Pelodiscus sinensis: one gene and its partner. The protein of the gene in region 1 binds, or shares a complex with, the protein of each later gene. Links are inferred from orthologs where the notes say so. Each region holds a gene or a part of one and is shown on either strand. Other genes may lie near its edges. The genes, in order: AGT and DPP3.

The links.
Region 2: the proteins of AGT (region 1) and DPP3 are in contact, whole or in part, in a crystal structure (PDB 5E2Q), measured with the Homo sapiens proteins. The link is inferred for Pelodiscus sinensis from reciprocal best matches to the Homo sapiens genes AGT and DPP3. Residues at the interface, in NP_001369746.2 of Homo sapiens: Asp25, Arg26, Val27, Tyr28, Ile29, His30, Pro31, Phe32; in NP_005691.2 of Homo sapiens: Phe109, Glu316, Tyr318, Glu329, Phe381, Gly385, Ile386, Pro387, Ala388, Gly389, Ile390, Asn391, Ile392, Asn394, Arg399, Val412, Leu413, Val415, Ala416, Phe443, Val447, His450, His455, Glu507, Glu508, Asn545, Arg548, Leu552, Glu555, Phe556.

What each region holds. Positions count from the first base shown.
Region 1 is NC_134713.1:122,673,895-122,685,619, reverse strand, and holds the start of AGT (angiotensinogen), read right to left. Parts: upstream 4,701-11,725; 5' UTR 4,549-4,700; exon of another isoform or gene 4,541-4,548; intron 3,869-4,540; exon of another isoform or gene 3,701-3,868; intron 2,709-3,700; 5' UTR 2,685-2,708; coding exon 1,892-2,684; intron 1-1,891. Other genes in the region: CAPN9 (calpain-9), read left to right, coding at 11,106-11,317. UniProt on the Homo sapiens protein: Essential component of the renin-angiotensin system (RAS), a potent regulator of blood pressure, body fluid and electrolyte homeostasis.
Region 2 is NC_134721.1:32,444,472-32,456,915, reverse strand, and holds the start of DPP3 (dipeptidyl peptidase 3), read right to left. Parts: upstream 5,579-12,444; 5' UTR 5,542-5,578; coding exon 5,477-5,541; intron 5,472-5,476; exon of another isoform or gene 5,450-5,471; intron 4,750-5,449; coding exon 4,467-4,749; intron 4,258-4,466; coding exon 4,168-4,257; intron 3,815-4,167; coding exon 3,677-3,814; intron 2,790-3,676; coding exon 2,715-2,789; intron 2,477-2,714; coding exon 2,383-2,476; intron 2,133-2,382; coding exon 2,002-2,132; intron 1,653-2,001; coding exon 1,522-1,652; intron 1,292-1,521; coding exon 1,233-1,291; intron 871-1,232; coding exon 676-870; intron 1-675. UniProt on the Homo sapiens protein: Cleaves and degrades bioactive peptides, including angiotensin, Leu-enkephalin and Met-enkephalin. Also cleaves Arg-Arg-beta-naphthylamide (in vitro).

The DNA of each region.
Region 1 (11,725 bases):
GGATCTCAAGTTAGTTTACTGAGACCCAGTTTTTCCTAAAAAGTTAGGTTGACTCAGCTAGTTGCCCATGGATGTGAAAAATCTCCCCTCCCCTCTCCCCCCCGAGCAACACAAACTTACCTAAGCCCTGGTATAAAGAGCGGTAGGTCTAATTCCACTGTCAACCTCGCAGATGCCTCTCACAGAGGTGAATCACCTATGCTGACATGAGAAGCCTTACCATTGGCATAGGGAGAGGCTACCCTGAAGCGCTACAGTGGTGCAGCTGTACCCAGGGCAACAAGGTGAGTTCTAGGTAACCAGAATGGAACTGCCCGGATGGGACTGTTCTCCTAGTCTTGTGAAACGCTGCTTCTCTTTGCTGAATGCTGCTTTCTTTTCTGGGGAGGGGACTGGACCAGGAGCACTTCCCACCTGCACCATGTGAAATGGGCAGGAATGGAATCCTGACTTCAGTAGAGCTCAGGGAGGTTTCTGATATTCCCTTGCGTAGGGCCAACACAGATGCAGAACAAGCTGGCAGTGGGCATGTGTGAGGGGGGGCGCACTCACCACCGTAACCCCCTGCCATCTGTCCTCCGGAATTGGCTCCCTTGGCAGGTAGGGTGCCTTCTCTGGGGTGGTGTCTCCCCTCTTTACTCCCGGCTCCGGCGTCCTCTTCGCCACACTGCCCTCCAGCAGTGCCCAAGTCTGTCTCTGAGCCCCCCTTCCGGGGGTTGATGTTACTCCATCGGGCCTTCTTTCAAGCCCTGCAGTCTGAGGATTTGCTGGCCAGAGCTCCCCTAGCCCTGCCTGGCCTCCCCAGCCCTGCCCTAGCTCCAGGGAGCCTCCTCCTCCCTCAGCAGCCAGGTTCTCACTGCTTCCCCTTTTCACAGCAGCAGCCCATCCTCTATTATAGCGCCCAGCTGGGCCCTAATGGACTAGTACAGCCTCAGCTGGGCTAATCTCCCCGGCCCTGGTTCCGGCCGGGGTCTGCCCTTAAAGGGCCAGTGCAGGGCGAGCGCCCTGTCACAGCATGGCTGGCTTGTTTCATTGGCTGGGGCCCAAACAATGTTTTCTCTAATCGTTTCTATCCATTTGCAGATTTTTTCCATCCCCGTGTGGAATAGAATTTTATGTGTACCAAGGCATGTACAATTGTGCACCACCAATTGAAACACAAAACCTAGCTATGGACTGTCTGCCAGTCAGCTGGGCAGCATTTGAATATTTCCCATAGGCACACAGCTTATGGGAAATAGTGGACACAAACCTATGGATCTTTATACAACTGGTCAGAAGAAATTGCCTTCCAGTCTTTTCTCAGTTTCCCTTATGCACAGCAATGATGCTGTGGCTGGTTTACAGATGTTGCCTTCCACCGTCTGTCTGTAAATGAAGTACTGATGGCATATGCAGCAGGGGAGAAGGTTGACCTTGTGCCTAAGGCACAGGTATGGGACTCATGAAATGTGGACTCAGTTTATGACTCAGAGACAGACTTTCTGTGTGACTATGGGCAAGTCACTTAATCGGTAATAGGGGGGTTGTAATACTTCCTTTCTCCCACCCTTTGTCTTATCTATTTAGACCATATGCTCTTTGGGTAGTGAATGTCTTTGTACAGCACTGGGAATAATGAGGCTCTTGAGCTACTAACAATGCAAATTATAAATCATAATAGCTGTGCTATATGTAGTAGAAAGTCCCACCTTGCAGTACTCTAGGTTTTCAACTGAGGTTTTCCATCTAACTGCTGTGATCAGCCTTGATCCTGAGAAAGCAAAGCCCAAGACATCAGAGTTGCGAGGGGATATACGTGCCGAGTTGCAAAAACAGATGAGTCTGGAGGTCATTAGCCCTGAGATTATCCCCTGAGATTATCATTCAAATTAATGCTCATCGTTCTTACCTTTTAACTGAATGTAAGTCAGAAACAGCAGGCTGGTAGAAGGGTCTATGTTTGTCAGTACATTCTTGCTTTTGCTGGTATCTTTGTCTTTTACAAAGTTTTCTATTAGTTCTGCTGCCTGACTCGGGTTTGTAAAGTCAACTGCCCGGGCATAGAAATAATCAGAAGAAGGGGCCAGGCTGTTCACAAGTGATTCAGATAAACGGACACTGGGAGCAGAGAAGAGGCAGGAAAGCTTGGAAAAAAGTAGGTCACCAGCTCCACTTGAGAGGGGCAGGTTCTCAATGGTCTTCAGGGTCAAAAGGACTTTGTGTCCATCCACTTTGGAGGTGCAGTCCGGGTCACCGGAGGGAGGAATGAATCCCAAGAACTTCTGTAAATCATCAGCTGTCTGTTCGGAGGCCCCTAAGTAGAACGATAACAAAGACCTGTAGAGAGTGGTAGGTGACAGGAGAATGTTTTCACCCTTCAGAGTTTCCTTCAGCACATCATAGAAGCGCATACCAAGAACATACACTAGGTCTTTCAAGTAGCTCAGCCTCTGGTCACCCTTGATATCTGAGCTTTGCCTTTCCAGCTTGGTTTTGTCTTTCAGGGTCTCTTCATAGGCAGGGATGGTTTGGGACTCAATAGAAACGGGAACAAACATTTTCTCTTCTTGCATCAAGTTGACCAGGTTCTCACAGCTGCTTTTGTTATAGGAAAACAAATGGAAGGGGTGGACGTATACCCGGTCGCACATTACGGGGCTCAGGCACAGGAAGAAACACAGAAGGCTCCTTCTGGGATTCATGGTGAAGGACAATGTCAGTGAAGTCTGTTTTAAAAAAGGAAAAGTGGGGGGGTTAGCTAATTAACTTGCTGTCTACTTTGCTCCTTTCTTCGGGAGTGTGTGGTGTTAATATGGCTTTTCCTCACAGCACAGGAATCCAGACGAGTGGGGGTTTTCTAAAAGGGTTTAGTATTGGTCTGACTCTGCCCTTACTGAAATCAATAGTAAAAGGTCTATTGAACTCAATGGAAGCACATGCTGGGCATAGGCGCCAACTTCCTTAGTTGTCAGGCGGTACCCGCACTCCACCGTAGGTCCCATCCACTCCATCCCTGCCCTACCCTACCTCCTCCTGCCATACCTCTTCCACCCTTTCCCTTCTCCCCCAGTGTCTCCCGCGCATCACCGAACAGTTGATCAGGGTGGGCAGGAGATGCTGGGAGGAACGTATCATTGGGGCCTTTCTGCAGGTAGGAGGCACGGATCCATGGGGCTGCTGGTGAGTGCTAAGTACCCACTGTTTCTTTCTTACAGCCCCACAACCCAGTTTTACAGCTCCACAATCCAAACCGGAGCCAGCTGACCCAGGCCAGCCATGAGTGTTCAGTTGCAGGGTAGACCTACCCTGGGAGACTGTCTTGTCTGTGGGATTGTTCAGTCTTTCCTGGGTTCCTTAGTGACCCCTCTCTACAGCCTCCTTTGAAAGAACTCTATGAGTTCTGGCAGGGCTCTGTGCCAAACGGGACAGAGAGACTGTCACTCCTAATATTCATAGAAGAGAATACAGATATTGTCCTAGATTGTCATAGACATGTTGCTGGCCACCGTTGTTACCACCCTCACAGTTTCCCAGTGCAGCCCAAGTCCCAGTATTACTTCCCCCAAATGAGCACTGAGGCTGTGTCTGCATCTGAAAGAAAAGATTTCACTCTCCGAGGTGGCCAGTCCAGAGCCTTGCACCAGCACTGCATAGATGCATTCAAAGCAAAACTACCCCTTCAGCCAACAGCTTTACCAGCCTTTGTGCTTAGGCTCACCTTGCCCTCTTATGATAGCTTCCTCAGCTCCAGCTCCGCTCAGCCCCTGCAGTATCTGAAGTACTGTACCATGACGGCTGGCATATTTATGCTTTTTCCAAAGGGAAGACCCTTTCCTACTGTCCCCAGTGCTGTTCCACAGAATGACATTGCATCACCAAGTGGAGGGGTGAGCGGAGACTAGTTGGGACCAGATGAAACACGAGGATAGCTGAACACTAGACCTATTGGCGGGTTTAAAGATCAATACACAACCTTTAACCGAGCACAGTATAACCTTCTGTTACACATTCACTGGCCTGGACTGTGACAGTCTGTTATGCATATGAGCCCATATGAGCCAGGTCTTGTAACCTTTCACCTCTTTCCCTTTCCTGCTGACTAGAGATACATTGCTCCGTTTAGGACCAAATTTATTCCTGGTGTAATTCCATTAATATGTGACTTTAAAACCAGTTTAAAGCTGCACTGCAGAGACATTCTTCTAATAATTGGGAGTGGGCCCTTTGCACTAGAGTAGGGTTGCCATGGCTTTGGAAATTAATATAGGCCTAAAGAGAGAATGTTGGCTTTCAGAAGAAAAGTATCTTTTCCCCGTCTTTCATTGCAAGGATCTCTAGCAGTATAGACGCTAGAGATAGAGGTGGTAGAATTGTGCATCCGGCACATCTCTGTGTACAACCTAAGCAGCAATTAAGAACTCCAGGAGGTAAAAGCAAACAGCATCCTATAGACACTGGTTGTACACGCAAAGACAAAGGTATAGGCATTTTTCTAAATTAATCCCATTGGACTACAGCCACTTTAAGCGTACACAGAAAGCACACAAAGCTCTCAAACCTGCTCACAAATCAGTGAAGAAGTTCCCTGTCTTGTTTCCCACGCCTTGTGTCTGATTTCAGGAGCACGATTTGCTTCCTATATGATTCCCACAATTGCCTAATCTGGGTTACATATTAGCTTTCCCCTCTTATCAGATTTCTGTTCAAAATGTTCTGGGATACGGTGCTGGGTTTTTCCATTTGTTATTCATCGTCATTGTCACCTTCTGTGAGGAAAAGCAAATAATGGCTGAAGAGCTGATTTCATCAGTATCACAGTCATTATTTCCACTGCCGCCTAATGGCTGGTCTCTTTGGCAATATTGAAATTAAATCCGTCTGTGACAGGTATTCTTACTGCCCTGCAGGGCCAACGTGGAATCATTGCTGTCAGATGAGCCGTTCTTAGTGTGTAAACGTTGTCAAATACTCTCCATAACTGTTAATCCTAGCAGAGAGACCTTAACCTTACAGCTAGCTAAAGTGTAAATATTATGTACAGAGAATGCAAAGACATTTGATCCAGGTACTTGTTTCTGCAGATCAGCCCAAGGATGTAGGCTACTCCTTTGCTAAGATGGACAGTCTACACTCTTAATAAGTGACTGGGTGATGGGGAAAGATCTGGGAAAGGCAGGGGGAAATTCACCACTTTGCTTTTGCACAGAAATAAATGTAAATAATGTATTCAGTTTTGTTCAATCTGGCTTCCCATGCTTCCTCCTTTTGCCTGAGACCTTTCTGCATTAACAAAATAAAGGGGGCACATGCATGGTTGCTGTGACTCTCTTGTCTTTAGTGATATGCTGAGAATTGCTCTGAAGGCGGCTGCTGTGGCTAGAAGGTAGTACTGATTCTCTACCTTTGTTGGCATGGCCCATGGCTCATACTTAAAACTGGAGTTTGTCCCTCTCCACAGAATAAGTTAACATGCCTTACCCACCTTATGAGACTAGGGATCCATGTATAACCAACCCAGATGTAGTGAAATTCTCTTTATAATGAAGCAAAATGGCCATGTTCAGGGTTTTTTTCAGTGCATAGCAATATGCAAATAACAAGTCTGAGGGTAGTGAAGCTCTGCTTTGTTCTGGGAATAAGTGGCTTCATTGTAAAAGGGTCTACTGTACAGGTAATGGAAATTAATACAGGCCTAAAGATATACCTTTTGGCTTTCAGAATAATAGAATCTCTTCACCATCTTTCATTTAAAGACATCCAAGAATATAAACTCCAGATGGAAAGGTGGTTGTTCGTCTGATGTTGTTAAAATAGGATACACCTTGAATAGAGCTGAGCAAATACTGCATTGAAGTATTTATAAACATTCATTTGCAGAAAAGCTGTGAATTTGCTTTCATATTAGTGACTTTTTTGTTTCCCTTCAGTGCTTGTAACCATTCATGAGCAAGGAGAATCAGGGGGAAAGCAGTAGGGACAAGGGAAAGGAAAGCATATGCAAAGATAGAGGAGGAAAAGTTGATGTAGTTACAGTGAAAGACGTAGCTCAATTTGCATAGCTGATTTTGAGTTAAGCCCTGCTGCGCATATGCACCTAATGGGTAACATGCTGAAAAGTACCTAAGTGACTGAGGAGTCCACATTCTGTTTTCAAAAGTGATTCAGGCACTTAGGTGCCAAAATCTCATTAAGACACACCAGCATGTCTAAATAACTTTTTAAAAATGAGTTGTAGGTTCTTATATCGCTTAGATGCTTCTGAAATTCCCCCCACCCCCCTCAAGAAGTCTGCACTGTGAATAATTTTGAGAACCCTGACATAGATGTTGTATTAGGGCTTGCATTTAATTTCTTCATGCCCTCCAAAATCTGTGTTCTCCCCTCTCAATTTGCTGCACATTAGCAGCCAGTTTCAAAGTAAACAGACTGAGGAGGGCACAGATCAAGTTTTAGTTTAAAACTAATAGAGTTATGAAGAGAAATAAAAAAACACTTTCCTCTTACCCTGTGAGAACTATTGCAATGCTGTTCCTGATTTGAGCCTGATTTTATTTATTTTTGCTAGCTGTGATGGCAAAAGGCTATACAAAGTGATTTTGTTAATTATTATAACAAAACATAGATAAGAAATAGCTTGGTAAGTGGTTTTTCCCCCCCTGTATTTATTTACAGATCTGACTTCTACCCTTGAACTCTGAAAGCACTAGTCTCTGAAGGCAGTGGGCTATTGTAGAGGGCTGGACCAATTTTTGCATTAAAAAAACCCATCAAATTATAGCATTCAAAGTACAAATGATGAAACGGGCATTATTCTACCTCAGCATTTGCCACAAGTTCCCATGAGGAAGAAGAGTGTGAAAATCTGTGACAAACTGGAGACAACAAGCAAGAAGGTCTAAGAGTTCCAAAGTTTAAAGTTGAAGAAGATTTTTACTGTTGCTTTGTTTTGAGTATTATTGGGCCCAATTTTTTATTGGATATTATTTGATTCCTACTCAGACAACATGTGTATTTAAGCCAAGGAAAGGCTGAGTAAGGACTTCCAGGAGTTTGTCTCGGATAATTGCCCCAAAGAGGGCCAGTACCTCACAAGTCTTGTGATGCGCCTATCATGGCTGTCTTCAGAGACACAGAAATTCACTGCTTCCCACAAGAGCTAACAAAGCACTATTTCAAGAGACTATTGTGGCTTAAAGGGGCCAGAATGACATCCTTGGAGATTGAAGTTTTCCATTCATCCAGTAGCCTGTCTGGCACTGGCTATGTCTGATTCCCCACAATGCCCCTCCAGCAAACCTGGCATCAGCTTGTGCAGGGTCTGTGGGAAATAACACATGAAAAGCCCCCATCTAGCTGCCTCTACACATATGAACAATCCCTCTTCCCCCACACTCCCTCCCCCACCCCTCAGCTCTCCTTGTTCTAGCCTCTCAGTCTCTGTAGGGTGGCTGCCAAGGAGAGACAGATGAGCATCCAAATTAGTGTGTCTAGGGCAGCTTGATTTCCTCCCTCATGCACTCAGAATAATTAGGATGCTATGACCACACCTACATGCACTAGCCCTTAGCAGACAAAACTGAATCTGGCATGTCATCCAATTCTAGTGCACCTATTGTTGTGTTGTATCTGAAAAATGGCAGAGTGCCAGGATTTTCAGCTCATGAGACACAGAGCTCCACCTCAGCGTCCCATCTCTGGCCATACGGCTTTGTGAGGCCACTGTCAGCCATGGATTTTCTCCTTCTCCCCCCTGGGCTGCACAATTTGTTTTGCTGCAGTCACTATGGTAACAAGCAGGGTGAAGTGCAATGCAATGCAACCTAGGGAAGTGTTAGATGATGAATGACAACACACAGCCTTGCAGGGCTTGGAGAGTGGCAGGTTGTGTGAGAGAAAACAGGGAGCAGGGGGAAGAGAAAGTGAAGAGAAAAGAAGAGCAAAAACATGACTATTACTTGCATTACTTTGTACTGAGGTGGCTCCTACAGGCCCAGGCCATAATGGTCCCATTGTGCTCGTGGCATACCAAGAGACAGAACCCGCCCTCAAAGGCTTACCATCTAAATTGATAAGACAGGCAAATGGTGGGAGAAAGGGAGGCAACCCACATGCAAAAAGTTAAGAACTCAGTCAAACGGAGATTAAGTGACTTGCCTCCAAATCCAGAGTCATCCATTTCTCAGGCAACCAAGGTCAAAACACAATCTAAGCCTCCCTCTTCTTTGACTAAGAACTAGGATGTGCCTTTTATACAACTTCCCTTTTCCCAGCTGGCCTTGCTCCCAGCTGCTCATAGTCATTTCATCCCTCTAGAGCAGGATGGGGAACCTCAGGTCTGGGGGGCCAGATGTGGCCCTTGGCTTGCCTAGATCTGGGCCCTTGAGGCTCAGGGATGCCCCCCAGCACTGGGGAGCCTGCACTGGCACTCAAGTCCCCTTGCTGCCCCAGCATGGGGCTAGAGCACACAAAATCTACTAGCCCAGGCCCCCCTAGGCCCTGGTGTGTGAGGGGAATGTGGGGAGTGTCTTTCACATTCTCAGTCAGGGGCCATGTCAGTGAGGGTTTTGTTTTGGTTTTTTGTTTCTCAATTGTATTTGGTCCCCAATTGGTTTTATTGTGGGTCAGTGGCCCCTGATCCAAAAAAGGTTCTGCCCCCTCTCCCACCATTCTAGAAACTACAAATACCAGAACACCTGTCCAGAATTCAGAGCAGGACACAGGTCTGCCCTTAAAAATAAGCCCAGCCTATAATATGAAATTAAACCCTTTTCAAAACAATATATTTGTTGCAAGGAAGTATTCAAATAGTCATCACAAAATTTCCAAATTTCATTCAGCCTCCCACATATTAACATTCAGGTAGAATGAAAGAAAGTGATCAAGTTTATTCATTAATATTGGAGATGCACTTGTTACGTTAGAGGCCTTAGTTATGAATTCACACTGTTTGGCACTGTTAAGCTAAATACAAATGCTGTAGGGCTGTGTCTACACTGGGCCACTTATTCCGGAAAGTCAGCTGCTTTTCCGGAATAAGCTGCGAGCTGTCTACACTGGCCCTTGAATTTCCGGAAAAGCGACGACGCTCTACTGTACAAAATCAGCTGCTATTCCAGAAAAGCTACGCTGCTCCCGCTCAGGCATAAGTCCTTATTCCGGAACACTGTTCCGGAAAAGGGCCAGTGTAGACAGCCCAGTAGTCTTTTCCGGAAAAAAGCCCTGATCGCGAAAATGACGATCGGGGCTCTTTTCCGGAAAAGCGTGTTTACATTGGCCACAGACGCTTTTCCGGAAAAAGAGCTTTTCCGGAAAAGCAGCCTGCCAATGTAGATGCTCTTTTTCCGGAAATACTTATAACAAAAACTATTCTGTTTTAAGCATTTCCGGAAATTCATGCCAGTGTAGACACAGCCTAGGTGTTTTAAACACAGAAAGCCTAATTCTCCATTGCCCAGCACTCTGTGGAGCCTGGATGCCAGAGCACAAAATGCTACCAAATCAGACTGAAACCATCCACTTTGCACTAATGTGGATGATTACAAGGCACTGGAGAATCAGGACTGGAGTATTATGGCTGCTAAAATCCACAAAGACACATAAGTGAGTTACTTATCTAATAAACACAGGAAAATAAAGCAACAACAGTGGCAAAGTCCTTTGCAAGCCTCTGATAGCCCCACTTCATTCCTAGGTTTAGGTTCCAGCTGTAGTTATAATCGCCTTCACCTAACACATCTTTTCCACTCTGTCAGCCCAGACTGTTGCTGACAGTGTAGTGGTAGTGCCCAGTCACTACCAGTACCACAAAGCTGCTGCACCACAGCCTGACTCGAGCTCCGGCAGCTGCCTGCCATGTGGCCCACACCAAGAGCAGCTGGACAGCCACAGCGCGGCCCTGGCTGCAACTCCAAGATAACCAGTTGCTGCAGAAGAACATCAAATGTTTTCTATAAATTTACAAGATAAACACTGAAGAAGCATAAAAAACAACTAATAGTCTTGCAGCACCTTAGAGACTAACAAAACATGTAGATGGTATCATGAGCTTTTGTGGACACAACCCACTTCTTCAGATGACTGGAGTTATTAAAGGTCCAGTTTCTAAATAAATAGGGGATGGGAGGAAAAAGAAATAAAGGGGAAAGAAATAGTCAGTGTGTCCATGTTACATGAAGCTGATAGAGAAGGTATTAATTGTTCTTAAGTACCCATTGTTTGGTTTTTTTATGTCATTAGGATGTGGAATGTAGCAGGCCATCTAGCCAATGTCTATATTCATACCTCTATTATAGGAATCGAACTTGTAAATGAAGTTACGTTCTAAGGCCTCCCTGTGGAGTTGGCTTGTAAAATTGGCCTGAAACAATATAGTGACTTTGAGATCCATTAATGAGATCCCGGGCAAATTCAAATGTTCTCCAACAGGTTTGTGTGTGTTGCCTTTTCAGATATCTGATTTGTGTCCATTAATCCTTTGTTGTAGAGACTGTCCAGTTTGGCCAATATACATGGCAGAGGGGCATTGCTGGCATTTGATAGCTTGGATCACATGAGTGGATGTGCAGTTAAATGAGCCTCTGATGTGGTGGTTTATGTGGTTAGGTTCTGTGATGATATCGCTTCTATAGATGTGTGGACAGCTAGTGAAAATGAAAATGGCTTATGGAGGAAATCACACCACCAAATCAGAGGCCAGGAAAAGAAGGACAAGAAAACAGTCACATCACTACCCCGTCTGTTAAATCAGCTGTCTTGACATCTCTCTATTTGGATAACCTGGACAGTGAGGATGAAGTTCTAGCTGTCTCAGACATGAAGATTCATTCAACTAGAGGGGTGCAATCCAGAGGCTCAGAGAAGAACAGGCAGCAGCAAAAAAAGCCATTTAGACTTGACGTAATGCCAAGACCAACTTGCTGAATGGAGGGAAGGAAAGTAAAGCAACACCTAACCCAAGCCAACAGAAGCTGCAGAATTCTATCAATATCTTATTGTTGGACAGCAAAACACTTCCAACCAAATAGGAAGACTTTAGCCTGAGACTTCTTCTGAGCCCCGGCTCCAGCTCCAGCAGCCACCATATGGCCCATCCAGGCTGCACCTCCAACCCTGGGGAAGGGCTTATGCTGGGGGCAGGCCCCATGTGCTGGCTCCAGGCCCCATGTGCTGGCTCCAGCCCTGGAATATGGAGCAGCCACCCACCATGTGGCTGTGCCCTGGGAACAGCTGGGCAGCCACCATGTGGCCTTGGCCCCCCCACTCTCCCACCAGTTCCCAGCTCCCCCCAGCTTACCTTGCAGGAAGGTGAGTGCTGCTATGTGGCTCTGCTGAGGAGGTGAGTGGAATTAAAATTCTTTGTGCATATCCAGGCAGGCACACACCCTAGAGGGAACTTAGGTCACAAGAGTGAAATGTTTGAAAGCTGCATAGAAACTTTTAAAAACACTATAATAGAGTGTCAAACTAAAGGTACACCCCAAATAATAATAGTAATAAATAATAATTGATACTAAATAATATAATATAAGTTATTACTATTAATAATAAATGCCACCATGTCTAAACAGAGAAAAAGAGGTGGTTAGAGACAAAGGCATCTTTTAATAATTGGAAATCATATGCTACTGACAAAAATAGAAAAGAGCATAAATTCTGGCAGACCAAGTGCAATAGTGTAATTTGGCAGGCCAAAAAAGAATCCAAAGAATAACTTGCCAAATGCGCACACACACACAACACAAAA
Region 2 (12,444 bases), on another chromosome or scaffold:
CGAATAGCCTGGCTAGGACATTGGGGCCAGCCCTCACCATGAAGGGAGAGCAACTCTATTTGGAAAACAATGGGAGGGGTGGGTGGGCACAGCCCACCCACTTCTCAAAGTCCCTCCCCCAGCCCTGTGGGAAAAATGACTAGACCCAGGGTCCAACTAATTTCTGGGGACAAATAATGACATAACAGGATCAAGGTGTGGGGGTCAAAGGTTTAAAACAAGGGAACCAGACGGGGACACCGAGCAGAGAACCCCGGACAGCGCCCACTGCTCCTCAAAGCTGTCGATGGAGCCAGTGGACGCCACTCAGAGGAACTCTGCCTGGATGCGTGACACAAGGGAGGACCAAAAATAGGCCCCACAGTCGCAGAGAACCCCCTCGTCTAGCATCCTCCTCTTGGTATTGTATATAGTAGCTTTCTCCAGGGCCAGGAGGAGGTTGACGACTCAAGGGGACAGACCGTGGGCCTTACATGTGGTCTGGTCTCCTGTGCCAATGGATGGGATGCAGACGTAGAGGATTCTGGATAGTGCCTGGGTAGGAGAGTATTTTGGATAATGCCTGGGAGGCACAAGAGATTCTGGATAGGGATGCAAGCAGGGAGGATTCTGGGTAGCCCTAGGGAGGTGCAGAGGTCTGTGGCACAGGCACAAAGGATCATGGGTAGCACTCACAGTTGGGGATGTTGATGCCGGCCGGGATCCCACTGCCTGCAAAGGTCAGCACATCCAATGAGGTGAAGTCCGGCATGAGGAAGGTGTCCTTCTCGAAAGCACGGGGCCAGGGCAGCTCCAGCAGCAGCTGCTCAGCTGATGCCACCAGCTGCGCAAACTTGGCGCTCATGGCCTTGTTCACTACAGCCACGAATCCTGGGGGAGACAGTGGGTGCTGTGGAAGGGGCTAGCTAATATTGCCTCTCTGCCAGCCAGCCACGCTCCACCCACCGCCACCAAATGCAACCCAAACAGTGGCACAAACTACACTCCCTCCCTTACAGGCACCCCAAAGCAATTACAATACACACCCACAGCCCTCAAAACACACCTGCAGTACACAGTTGCAAGAGACACACCCCTAAGATGGAAACACCCCGCTCAGCAGTCAGCCACACCCTAACACAGTTGAAGTACACATGCCGGGAAGCACTCACCCCGGCTCACAGTCAGCACGTCCCCTTCCCTCCCACTACTTCAAACCGCGGCCCTCAGAGTCTGAGGCCAGTGTGTTTTACCTTCAAACTCCCCCCGGGAGCCATAGGGGTCTCGGTAGCTCTCGATAAAACCGATGTAACTGTAGGAGGAGAAAGCACATTAGATGGCCTGGCCTGCCCTGGGGCAGAGGAGACAAATCCCTCTGGTTCGCTGACCCCAGGAGGCAAATATCCCTATCAACAAATCCCTCTCCTTTCCCACCCCTCCAGTTGGCACCTGACTTCTCTCAAAACCCCTAGCTGCCGCGCCTCCCTGCTCAAACACCATGTCCCTCCCACAGCTGGGGACATCCTGGTTCCCAGCCTTGACCTTTCGACAATAGGCCCCTTGTCACGGATCCAGCAGCGGGAAGCCTCCTTATGAGCAGCAATGGAGCCCTGGGTGAAGCTGTGGATGTAATGTTCCAGCATGCTCTCCTGGTTGGTATTGGCAGCATAAGCCTGGGAGAAAGATCGTTGATCAATAATGACTATTCCTCTGAGTTCAGCCATTCCTCTCCCCAACCCCCTCCATACATTTCTGCCACTTCCTCAACCTCAGGAAGTGAGAACCCAGGAGTCCTGGCTCCCACTTCCGCCTCCCAGAACTGGGAACAGAACCCAAGAGTCCAGGCTCAGTCCTTTGGCTCCAAGACCATCCCCTCTCTCCGGATATAAAACTAAGGTTTTCCCCTGGTGCCAGGGTTAGGGTTTAAAACCTACAAACGTTACTGAGAGATCCCCGCCCTCCACCCTCCCACAGCCTCGGACCAACCCCTCCCCAGTGCATACGCCGAAGGGACATGCATGCCTTTGTACGTTGTAGGTTCTCCACCACTTTCTCCAGCAGGGGTGCGTAATCCCCGCGGGTCACACAGAACTTGCAGCTCTCAAATTCAAAGCAGCGCAGCTTGGGGGCCAGCTCAGGATCGACAGGTGCGTCTGGAGAGAGACCCAGAGACACACAATTCAATGGGGAGGTGAGGGGAAGACAGCAGGGACTGGGGACTAGCATGGGAGTGGGAGCCAGGCAGCAGGCGAGGTGGGTGGTATAAGGGAGTACAGGTTGGGGAATTGAGGACAGATCCAGACAGTGTGGGAAGCATAAGTCAGAGGGAGTCAGGGAGGTGGGTGCTGTGGGGAGCGCAGACCAAGGAGATCCAGTGAGAGGGCAGAGGATGGGGAGTCTTACCAGTGCCCAGCACGGATGCCAGCCGCACCTCATAGCACGTCTGCCCTGCCTCATCCTTCTTCTTGAAGAGCCGTGTGTTGTAGGCACTGATGGTCTAAGACAGACAAAGAGATTTACCCCCATCTGACACTGCTCCCCACTCACAGGGCACTCTACAATCCCATGCAGAGGTTCTGGGATCAGAATGGGAGCCAGTCTGGTGCTGGGCACTCCCCTGTATGCAAGGGTTGTAGCAATGCAGAGGCAGAAAACACACCCCACAAAAGCAGTCAGGCTTGGGGTTGCCACGGGGGGACCCGGGGAACGTCCCATGTTTGCGCAACAACAGGTACCTGTGAGTCGAGGAACCTCTGGGCTAGCTGGGCATCTTCCAAACTGCAGTTCGCAGAGAAATAGGTGGTAATGCCCTGTGGGAGAGGGCAGGATGTTACAGAGAGACAGCTCAGCCCTATCTTTTCACTGCGCGCCTCGTCTCCCAGCTAACCCTCATCTTCCCCTGGCTCTAGGGTGACTAGAAATTGCTAGGATTTTTAATCAAATTTTTAAATGTACAGCCAATTTTTTAATCATTAAATAGACTTCTCTTTCCCAAGAAAATGTGTTTAAAATGCAGTTTGAACTCCTGACAGGCTCTGTCAAGCCCAAAACGTACTGCAAGCCATTAGGAAGAAATACACAATAGAAGAATATAGTACTTGGATGAGCCCTCCTCAAATCTTAAAGGGGGAAGTGCACGGCTTGCATACTTATATGAGCATTTGGGGCTAAACCATCTTTAATGGCAGAGGATGAGCCAAGCTTTATGCAGCTCACAACGGCCTGCATGTCCAGAGGACAGAGCAGAGTGAGACCTGGGTATGCCATCAGTTTGCCAATGGAGCAAGCACTGCTATCTGCATTATCTGAAACCACAGTTCTTTCAGTTTCTGTTCTGCACAAAAGCTCCCGCCTTAAGTTAGTTCTCTAGTTCAACCAGGAATTAATTCAGGGCAGCCCTATGACCTGTGACCTGATAAGAAATCAGACGACCGCAGTGGCTCCTCGTAGTCTAGAAACCATAAATCAACCCATATGAAGGGTTTATACCAACCAATGAGAATAAACCTTACTTTAGGAAAGCAACTAAAAAGTACAAAGAAAAAACAAGATGACAATAGGCTATTTCAATCAAGGTTTCCTGCTGGCTGATTTAAATCACTATTCAAATCAGTAGTTTAATCACTGATTTAAATCAATCCACCATGGTTGCTCCCAACCCTCCAGAATCATCATGTGTGCACAAGTGGGGTATTACCTTCTTTCCTAGCCCCAACTGTCTCTGCCGTGGGTCCAGTGAGAACATCAGCTCCCCACATCTACCCCACAGTGACTCCATTTCCTCTGGCTGCTCCTGGAATGCCTGGCTCTGCCAGATCAGCTGCTGGAGCTTGTCCTAGGAGGCAAAGGAGAAAGGGACTGAGCTGTGACTGAGAGGGGAATAAGTGGGCTGGAACCATGATATATGTGTATCGGGGCAAACAGCAAACTCCCCCTGCCTCTCTCCATAGACTATTCAACTCAATCAGGTACCTGCCTCGCAGCCAGTGAGGGGGATGGAGAGTGATGAATAGCTGGGTGAGGCAGATAAATACACACCCTGCTGCAGGCAGCTTGCACAGAGCTTTTGGCAGGAGGATGAATCTGTGTTGGGGAGCAGTGTTTTCCCATAGACATTCCAAAACATGTTTCAATCCTGTGCCCCAGACATGTGGTCCCTACCTCCACCCCCCGCAACCACAGACTCACCTTGGGCAAGTTGGGTACAAACTTGGTGTCCCCAAAGGATTTGTAGTTCCCCATGTTGGAAAACACGCCAGCAGCATAAACCAGGAACGCCTAGGTGAGAAGAGGAAAGATCAGTTCCAGCCAGGCACCCACCTTTCCTTCCCTTTCTCTAGCCCACTAAAAGCGAATTCCATATCAGAGCCAAACAAACCCAGCAGATCAGCTTCCCAGCCCCTTCCCACTGCTTTAAACCATTAGACTTTGCTCCCCACCCAGAGCTGGGGACGGAATAGAACCCAGGCCTTTGGGTAGGGCGGTACCTGGTACTCCTCGTCAGTGAGGCCAGCAGAGCATGCCAGTTCCCCCAGCTTGTTGGGGTCCTGGGCGCGGAAGAGGCGGGAGAGCAGCACGTAGATGGCTGGTGCTTCAGGCGAGGTCTGGAGCAGCACAATCAGCCCCCCATACCAGCAGGCACGCGACAGGTGGTGGGCATAGAGCCGCTCACCCTGCAGCAGCAGCCGGAAGGCCTCACTGCAGTCCAGAAGTGCCAGCCCCACATCGTTAGGCAACACGTACTGGGGGTCCACCATCTCACTGGTCAACCTGCAGAGAGAGCACAGGTGTCCCTCAGTCCCAATCCACAACCTGTGTTCAGTCCCAATTCACAGCTCCCCACCCTACACTCCAATATCCGTCCCTAGGTTGGCTATATCCTCCTCACCACACTCCCATACAGCAGAAAGTCAGCGAGGACAGACAGCTGACAGCTTGTGCCCCACAGCTGAGCCAAAGTGGCATGGGCACAACTAGGGGCACAAGCACAGTCATGCAATAGCCTATCTGGCTCACCCACAAAACCACACAATTGCCCTTCCCAGCACCACTGTACAACGACACACCCAGCCCAGGATGCAGCACCCTGCGAAAAGCTGGATAAGGGATCCTGCCTGCATTAGCTGCCCCAAGCCCACCCTAGAGGCGACTATATCTCCGCATCAGACCCTCCCGACCGTGCCCCATTGCACCGTCACCCGCTTCTCTTGCAGCAACATCTGCGCCCACAAGTGCCTGCACACACCCCCAGCTGCGGGCGCATCCCCAACTCCCTGTGCCAAGGCCCCGGCTCTGGCTCACACCCGGCGTCTCCCCAGCCCGGGGAAGGCCTGTGCCCCTTGCACCGCGGGGCCTTCACCCCCCCACGCCTCCCACTGATCTGAGGATTTCCCCCCTCGAGCCCCAGGCACGCCCCGCCCCCCAGTGGGGAGCACGAGACCCCCCCCCCCCCCCCCGGCACCCAGCTCACGCTACAGCACGCGCCCTGCGCCCCCACCTGCCGCCGCTGTCCTGACTTCCTGCTTGCAATGCAGCCAGTCCGCCACCGGCTTCCCCATTCATAACCTCGGCCCCGGACCACCCACCAATCCGTGCGCCCAGCCGGGGAGACAGACGCTACGGCAGCCAATCGAGCAGCGGGAGCGTCAGGACTTTTCCTCCCCAGCTCCTCCCCTTCCACACGCGGTACCTTAAAGGACTGGTCCGTATGCTGTCGCTTCAGGTGCTGTTGTCACATAACCAGTAGAGGGGAAGGCCTCGCTCATCTCCGAGCTAGCCAGGCTAGCTGCCCTGGGTCTGGCTCAGCTGGTCCCTCCAGTGGGGGGAGAACCCTGTGCTCCCCATGCCCCGACAAAGCGGATTGGGTCCCGCACTTTCCAGAGGGTTGCAGGCTGGAGTACCTGGAGCACAAGGAATGTGGAGGGAAGGTTGTTAGCCTGATTTACAAGTGCGTGTGGCTTTTCTGATTTTCCAGAAAGTTTGCAGCCAAACCCATATGGTGGGGTACTATGATCAAAACCCTGCAGGATTACAAATATTGTATTTGTGTCTGCACCTGTGGGATTGTCGGGTATTGACCTGGACAGTCTGATTTTTGCCTCCTGTCTGGTTTAAAAAAAAATACAGAAAATACTGGACACCTAAAATGTCTGGTATCTTCTGATTTTTTTTTCCCGGCCAAGAGGCGAAAATCCCAGGTGCTTACTGGGTTCTGCAGGGGCGCTGTCTGGCCTTGAACAGGGAGACAAGATGGCGGGCGGCTGCCAGCAGCTTGTTAGGGCCAAAAAGCCTCAAAAAGGTCAGGCTGTTTCTGTTTTTTTTTAATTTTTAAAAATTTTTTTGCTTAACTCTCAGGGTCCTTTTTTGTTTAACAACTTTGGTCTCCCCACTTTCTTCTCAACAGAATTTTTTCCCCAGTGGTTTTTTTTTTGGGGGGGGGGTATTTTTGGTTAAACCATCTGGCAACCCTATGCACCTGTACCTGCAAAAATGAACTGCAGATAGCCACACTGACATCCGCTGATACAGACACCCACAGATATCCACAAATTTGCAGTTTTCTAGATACAGAATTGGTATCCACATCCCTGTCTGCAAAAATGAGCTGTGGTTATCTGTATCCACATCAGTGAAGGCCTGTGGATTTGCAGGGCTCTATCTATGGTGGGCTGCCTGTATCCACTGGCAATTTTACAGGAGCATGATTATTAAACTACCATATATTTGAGAGTTTGTGAACAAGCAAATCTGTATGTCCAATTGTCTGTTCAAAAACTCCTCCTTAATGATAAGAGCTAGGACCACTAAATGTGGTATGTGGCTTCCTCTTTTCATAATTTAAAGTAAGGTAGGGGTTTGATTGTGTGAGGAAGCCCTCCCACATGCACACTTGATTTGTACAGGGATGCATAAAACCATACAGAAAAGTGACAGAATCACTAGGCTTTCCTCCTTCCCTGATTCATACAGGAACATTACTGGCTGTTCCCTTCCATCAGAGAGCAAGTGGAAAGTGCACCTTGAACTCTCCACCTTTGGCTCTGGATACCTTCGCCACTGTGCCACCAGAGGAGCCCCCCAACATTCTGCATCCCCCTTATCCTTCCTTTGTCCCCAGGGTGCCAGGTGTGTACATCACAAAGCTGGTGGTGGCTGTCCCCGCAGGGGTGGGGTGGGGTTAAGGTTAGGACACAGTTTGTTCCATTCCTCTATCTGGAGAGCGCAGGGGACAGAAGAACCATGACCTGCCCAAGCTGGGGGACATACACCCCTCCCCGACTGCCTGCTGCAGTTGCAGTGGCCATAGAGAGGCACTTCTTACCTAGCCCCAAGCTGCTGTGGTGAGAAAGGGCTGGAGTAGTTCTCTCTCCCCAGGGCGGCCTGCATACTGAACCCCTCATTCCCAGAGCAATGATTTAAATTAACTGAGTTATGGACCCAAGCAATGCTGGGTAAATAGTCTAGTTATTTATATTACAGGCATACTGATCAGATTTGGATAGCAGGAGCAACTTTAACCATGATTCCAGAAGCTACTTGGAAACCTAAAAACCTTTGGTTTTTTCATATGTAATAACTTTTATAGAATTTTCCTGGAAGATAATATCTAATTCCTTATAAAGAAAATTGAATAAATATTAGACCCACTCAACTCTAATACTAACATGTTCAGATACCTTGTCTCAAGACACTTAAGTGACATTGGTTAGGCTTAAAATTTTAATGTACAGGCAGTCCCCGGGTTACATGGATCCGACTTACATCGGATCCCTACTTACAAACGGGGTGAGGCAACCCCACACTAGCTGCTTCCCCCCAGCAGACCAGGGAGACGCGAAGCTAGCGCCCCCGCCAGCAGACCAGGGAGACGCGGAGCAGCTTTTCTCAGCAGACACCTCAGCTTGAGAATAAAGGACTGAGGGAAGTGAGGTGTGGGAGAATAAAACTGAGCTCTGGAGAAATGTTTGGCTAGAGTTTCCCCTACAATATGTACCAGTTCCGACTTACATACAAATTCAACTTAAGAACAAACCTACAGTCCCTATCTTGTACGTAACCCGGGGACTGCCTGTATATTCTTACTTTGTTACTATCTCTTGAATACAACAATGATAAAAATTACAGAAAAAAATCGAGATGACTTTCTATCACTTTTTTGCAGTTCATCAAGCTTTGAATAGATTCCTTAACTTTTGGAAACATCCTATTTAGGGCAAGACCCAGGGACTTCATACTGCACCCACCTGGCGCTCCAGCAGTGTTACCCCATGACAAATAATAAACTAGAAAATTACTTTAAACACTACCGAAACTGACTTTTTCAAGTCACTTTCATAGTATTGCCAACCCCAAATGTTCAATAATCAAGACTTGGGCAAAACAAAAATCATGAGATTAGCTTTAAAATAATGAGATTATGTAAAAATAATAGATTTGGTGTGTTTTTTAAAATTATATTCCACTTTTGATCCTTTAAGGTGCACTGGGGTCACATTTGGAAGCTTTCTCTGCAGCCAGAAAAGCTAGAAACTTCCTGTGTCTTTAAGAATGAAGGCTGAAATAATACCGTATCACTTGACTCCAGGTACTGGGGCTTTAAGGAATGCAATACTTATGATGAGGCTCATAACAAAATCATGGGATTTGGCAACACTTCCGTTCAAAAGCTAGTTACTTTCCAGAAGGGTCTTAAACATAAGGCTACAGGGATTGAATTGCAGTTTTCACAGGAGAATATTTTAAAATCAAACACCAAGAAAAATTCCATGTTTTAAAGATGGAGGAAGAATGAGACTTCTGAGATGTCAGAGCCATTGGGGCAGGAAAGGAAAATGAACAGGCCCAAGAGCTCTAGTCAGCTCTTCCTCTTGAAAGAAAGTTGGAGGGTCAAATCTTCTAGTCTGTAATCAAGTACAACTTCTCTTGCCATCAGCACTACCACTCGTAGACATAAACATCACCATGAACATGTAATAACAGGTGTAGTCAATAACTCTACACTTCATACTTAACTGTCTGAGCCATCTTATCAGAGTTACACATCTTACACGCATTGGCCAAGGGACTACATTTCCTGGCGTATTCTCAACAGTGAATCACACTTTTAATGACAATAAATGTCAACTTTATGGATTCTTGTAGATGCAGTTTCTGTTCTTTGTTCTGGAATTGGCCTGGGTACAGCTGAAACCCAAAGGACTGGACGTATGATCACATCTGATACTCATACGACACTTTCTCATTCCTTCCTTTTCCCAAACTCAGAGCCAAAAATGAGAAACCAAAATGGGTTTCAGTTCCAATCTAAAATTACCCACCAGGTGTTGCCGTACAGCTTTGTCCAGGGCAGAGCCTGTCACCCACTGATGGGTAAGTGCTCTTCTCTCAGCAGACTCCCATTTTCTTTCTCTCTTCATCCTGCCTGACTTCTCTGCTGCTTTTCACACTGTCATCCAGTGCATCCTCCCAGTCACCTGGCACGGATTGCTGGAGTCTTAGAGAACTGGCTGGCCTGGTTTTGTTCCCATCCATCAGAGGCCTTTTTTTTCAGCATGGAGAAAGGCTGGAGCAGTGGATAGTGACCTCATATCTGAGTTCTACTCCCCGCCCACTGCTATGGATTTCCTATATGACCTCAGGCTGTATTTTACGGACATTTCAAAGGGTTTTAAGCAACCAAAAGTACAGCTGTGTTGTGCTTAAAAGAAGCACCCAGGATCTTTTTCAGGGGGATAAGGCAACACGCCACATTTATTGAACATACATAGATCAATCAATACTTATCATATGCATATTACACATTACACTCATGCACTCACACACACAAGCACACTCTGGCTGTGTCCAGACTCCATGCCTCCGTCGACGGAGGCATGTAGATTAGCCAGATCGGAAGAGGGAAATGAAGCCGCGATTAAAATAATCGCGGCTTCATTTAAATTTAAATGGCTGCCCCGATCTGCCGATCAGCTGTTTGTCGGCAGATCGGGAGAGTCTGGACGCGATGCCCCGACAAAGAAGCCTTTCTTCATCGACACAGGTAAGCCTCGTGAAACCAGGTTTACCTGTGTCGATGAAGAAAGGCTTCTTTGTCGGGGCATCGCGTCCAGACTCTCCCGATCTGCCGACAAACAGCTGATCGGCAGATCGGGGCAGCCATTTAAATTTAAATGAAGCCGCGATTATTTTAATCGCGGCTTCATTTCCCTCTTCCGATCTGGCTAATCTACATGCCTCCGTCGACGGAGGCATGGAGTCTGGACACAGCCTCTGTCTTCTTGTTACCAAAAGTTGCTCCCCCTAACTGCACTGGCCAGGTGAGTTAGATGTGGGAGGGGTGGAGCCGGGCTTCTGCGGATCCGGATTCATGCTCCTGTGTTGACAAGATGAAAACCCGGGGTCCCTCTGCAAGATGCCTCCTATTTATCCCTCTCATGCAGCCAATTAGTCATCACCTGGCCTTTCTTAATGCTGCTTCAAAAAGAGTTCTTCCAAAGGCAGGCACTTGCTGCTTGACTCCTAAGGCGTCTGTAGATCCAGTCTTCTTAATGAGCTCACTCTGCAGGTATTGTCTTAGATCTGGCTCCCAGACCTTCTCCACCCTTGCAACTGCTGCTGGAGGTGCTCACCTTTCATTCTCCATCACACCTCATTCATTTCAACAGGACAATCAAGGAAAGAGGAGAGCTCAAAATACATTTTTTCTTACAAGATCTCTATATCTTAATACAAAGTTATAGGAGAAATGTTACAGAGATTCTATAAGAACACTTAACAAAGATATATCTAAAAGGACAAGATCTTAATACAAAATATAATATTACAGGGATTTATCCACAGCTGGGTATCTCTTGGGGGATACAAAGCATGTAGCCTTCTAGGCACTTTTGAAAGCTTTAGGTGCCTATATGTCTGAAAATCTGGCCCTTATTCTCTCTGGCTACGTCTAGACTGCAGGCTTCTTGCGCAAGAAGCCTTTTGCGCAAGAGTTTTTGCGTAAAAACGTCTTGCACAAGAGCATGTCCACACCTCAAAGCGCATCGCAAAAGTGATGTGCTTTTGCGCAAGAGAGCGTCCACACTGCATGAACGCTCTTGCACAAGAAAGCTCTGATGGCCATTCACAGGAGGAGGTTTACCTACACCAGCAAAAGCCCTCTGTTCTGTCATTTTACTGCTGATTTAATTGCACAAAAGTGCATTTGAGGTGTGGATGCTCCTCTGGTTTTTGCACAAAAACCTTGCAGTGTAGACGTAGCTTCTGTGCCTTAGTGCCCCATCTTTATGGACTGAGCTGTCAATTGATGGATCTCATTTTCTTTCACGCCATTGGTGAACAACTAAACCAGTCCTCGATAGGCAAATCTGTTTATGGATGTCACATAAAAATCTGCCATCTGTGGGTGTTGTACATTCTTCACATCCTACACTTTTCTTGTCATGTCTGGATACGTTGATTCTCAATGGCTTTGTCTATACTGCAGGGTTTTTGCACAAGAAGCTTTTCGCAGAGGAGATCTTCCACAAAAACTTCTTGTGCAAAAGCATGTCTACACCTCAAAAGTGCATCGCAAAAGCAATGTGCTTTTGCGCAAGAGAGCATCCACACTGCATGGATACTCTTGTGCAAGAAAGCTCTGCTTGCCATTAACAGAATGGCCATCAGAGCACTATGCTTTTTTTGATAGGCTCTTTGTGAAAGAACCCCCTGTGGAGTGTCCACATATAACCACCACCAGGCAAATTTGAACCTGGGACCTCTGTAGCAGAGTATAGGAGCCTCTACCCACTGAACTAAAAGCCAGCTGGCTTCTAGCCCATCCTGTAGAGGTCTCTTAATCTTAACTGTTGCTGTGGTCTAGGTACCACTTGCATTGTTCAGTAGCCACACTAGGGCTATGTCTACACTCGCGGCTTCTTGCACAAGTATGGCCATTCTTGCGCAAGAATCCGCAGAGCGTCTACACTGCCTGCCTGCTCTTGTGCAAGGAAATTTACAGTACGGCGTGGTAAGAGAGGGCTCCTTGCACAAGAGCTACACTTTTTTTTAACAGGTTTAAGCCCTCTTGCGCAGGAGCTCTTTCGCAAGAGGGCAGTGTGGACGCTTGGCAGGGATTTCTTGCGCAAGAAAGCCCTATGGCAAAAATGGCCGTTGGTGCTTTCTTGCGCAAGAGAGCGTCCACACTGCCATGGGAGCTCTTGCGCAAAAGCACAGCACACACATGGCAGTGTGGACGTTTTCTTGTGCAAGATGTTCTTGCACAAGAAGCCACGAGTGTAGACATAGCCTAGGTGTGTGGGTTATATACTTCCCCTAGGTGAGGGAGCGTATCCTGAGCTTCAGGGACCCAGTTGAGATCCTGGACAAGCCCCCATTTGTAACCGCCACCAGGCATATTTGAACCTGGGACCTCTGAAGCGGAGTATAAGAGCCTCTACCTTCTGAGCCAAAAGCTAGTGGGGGTGC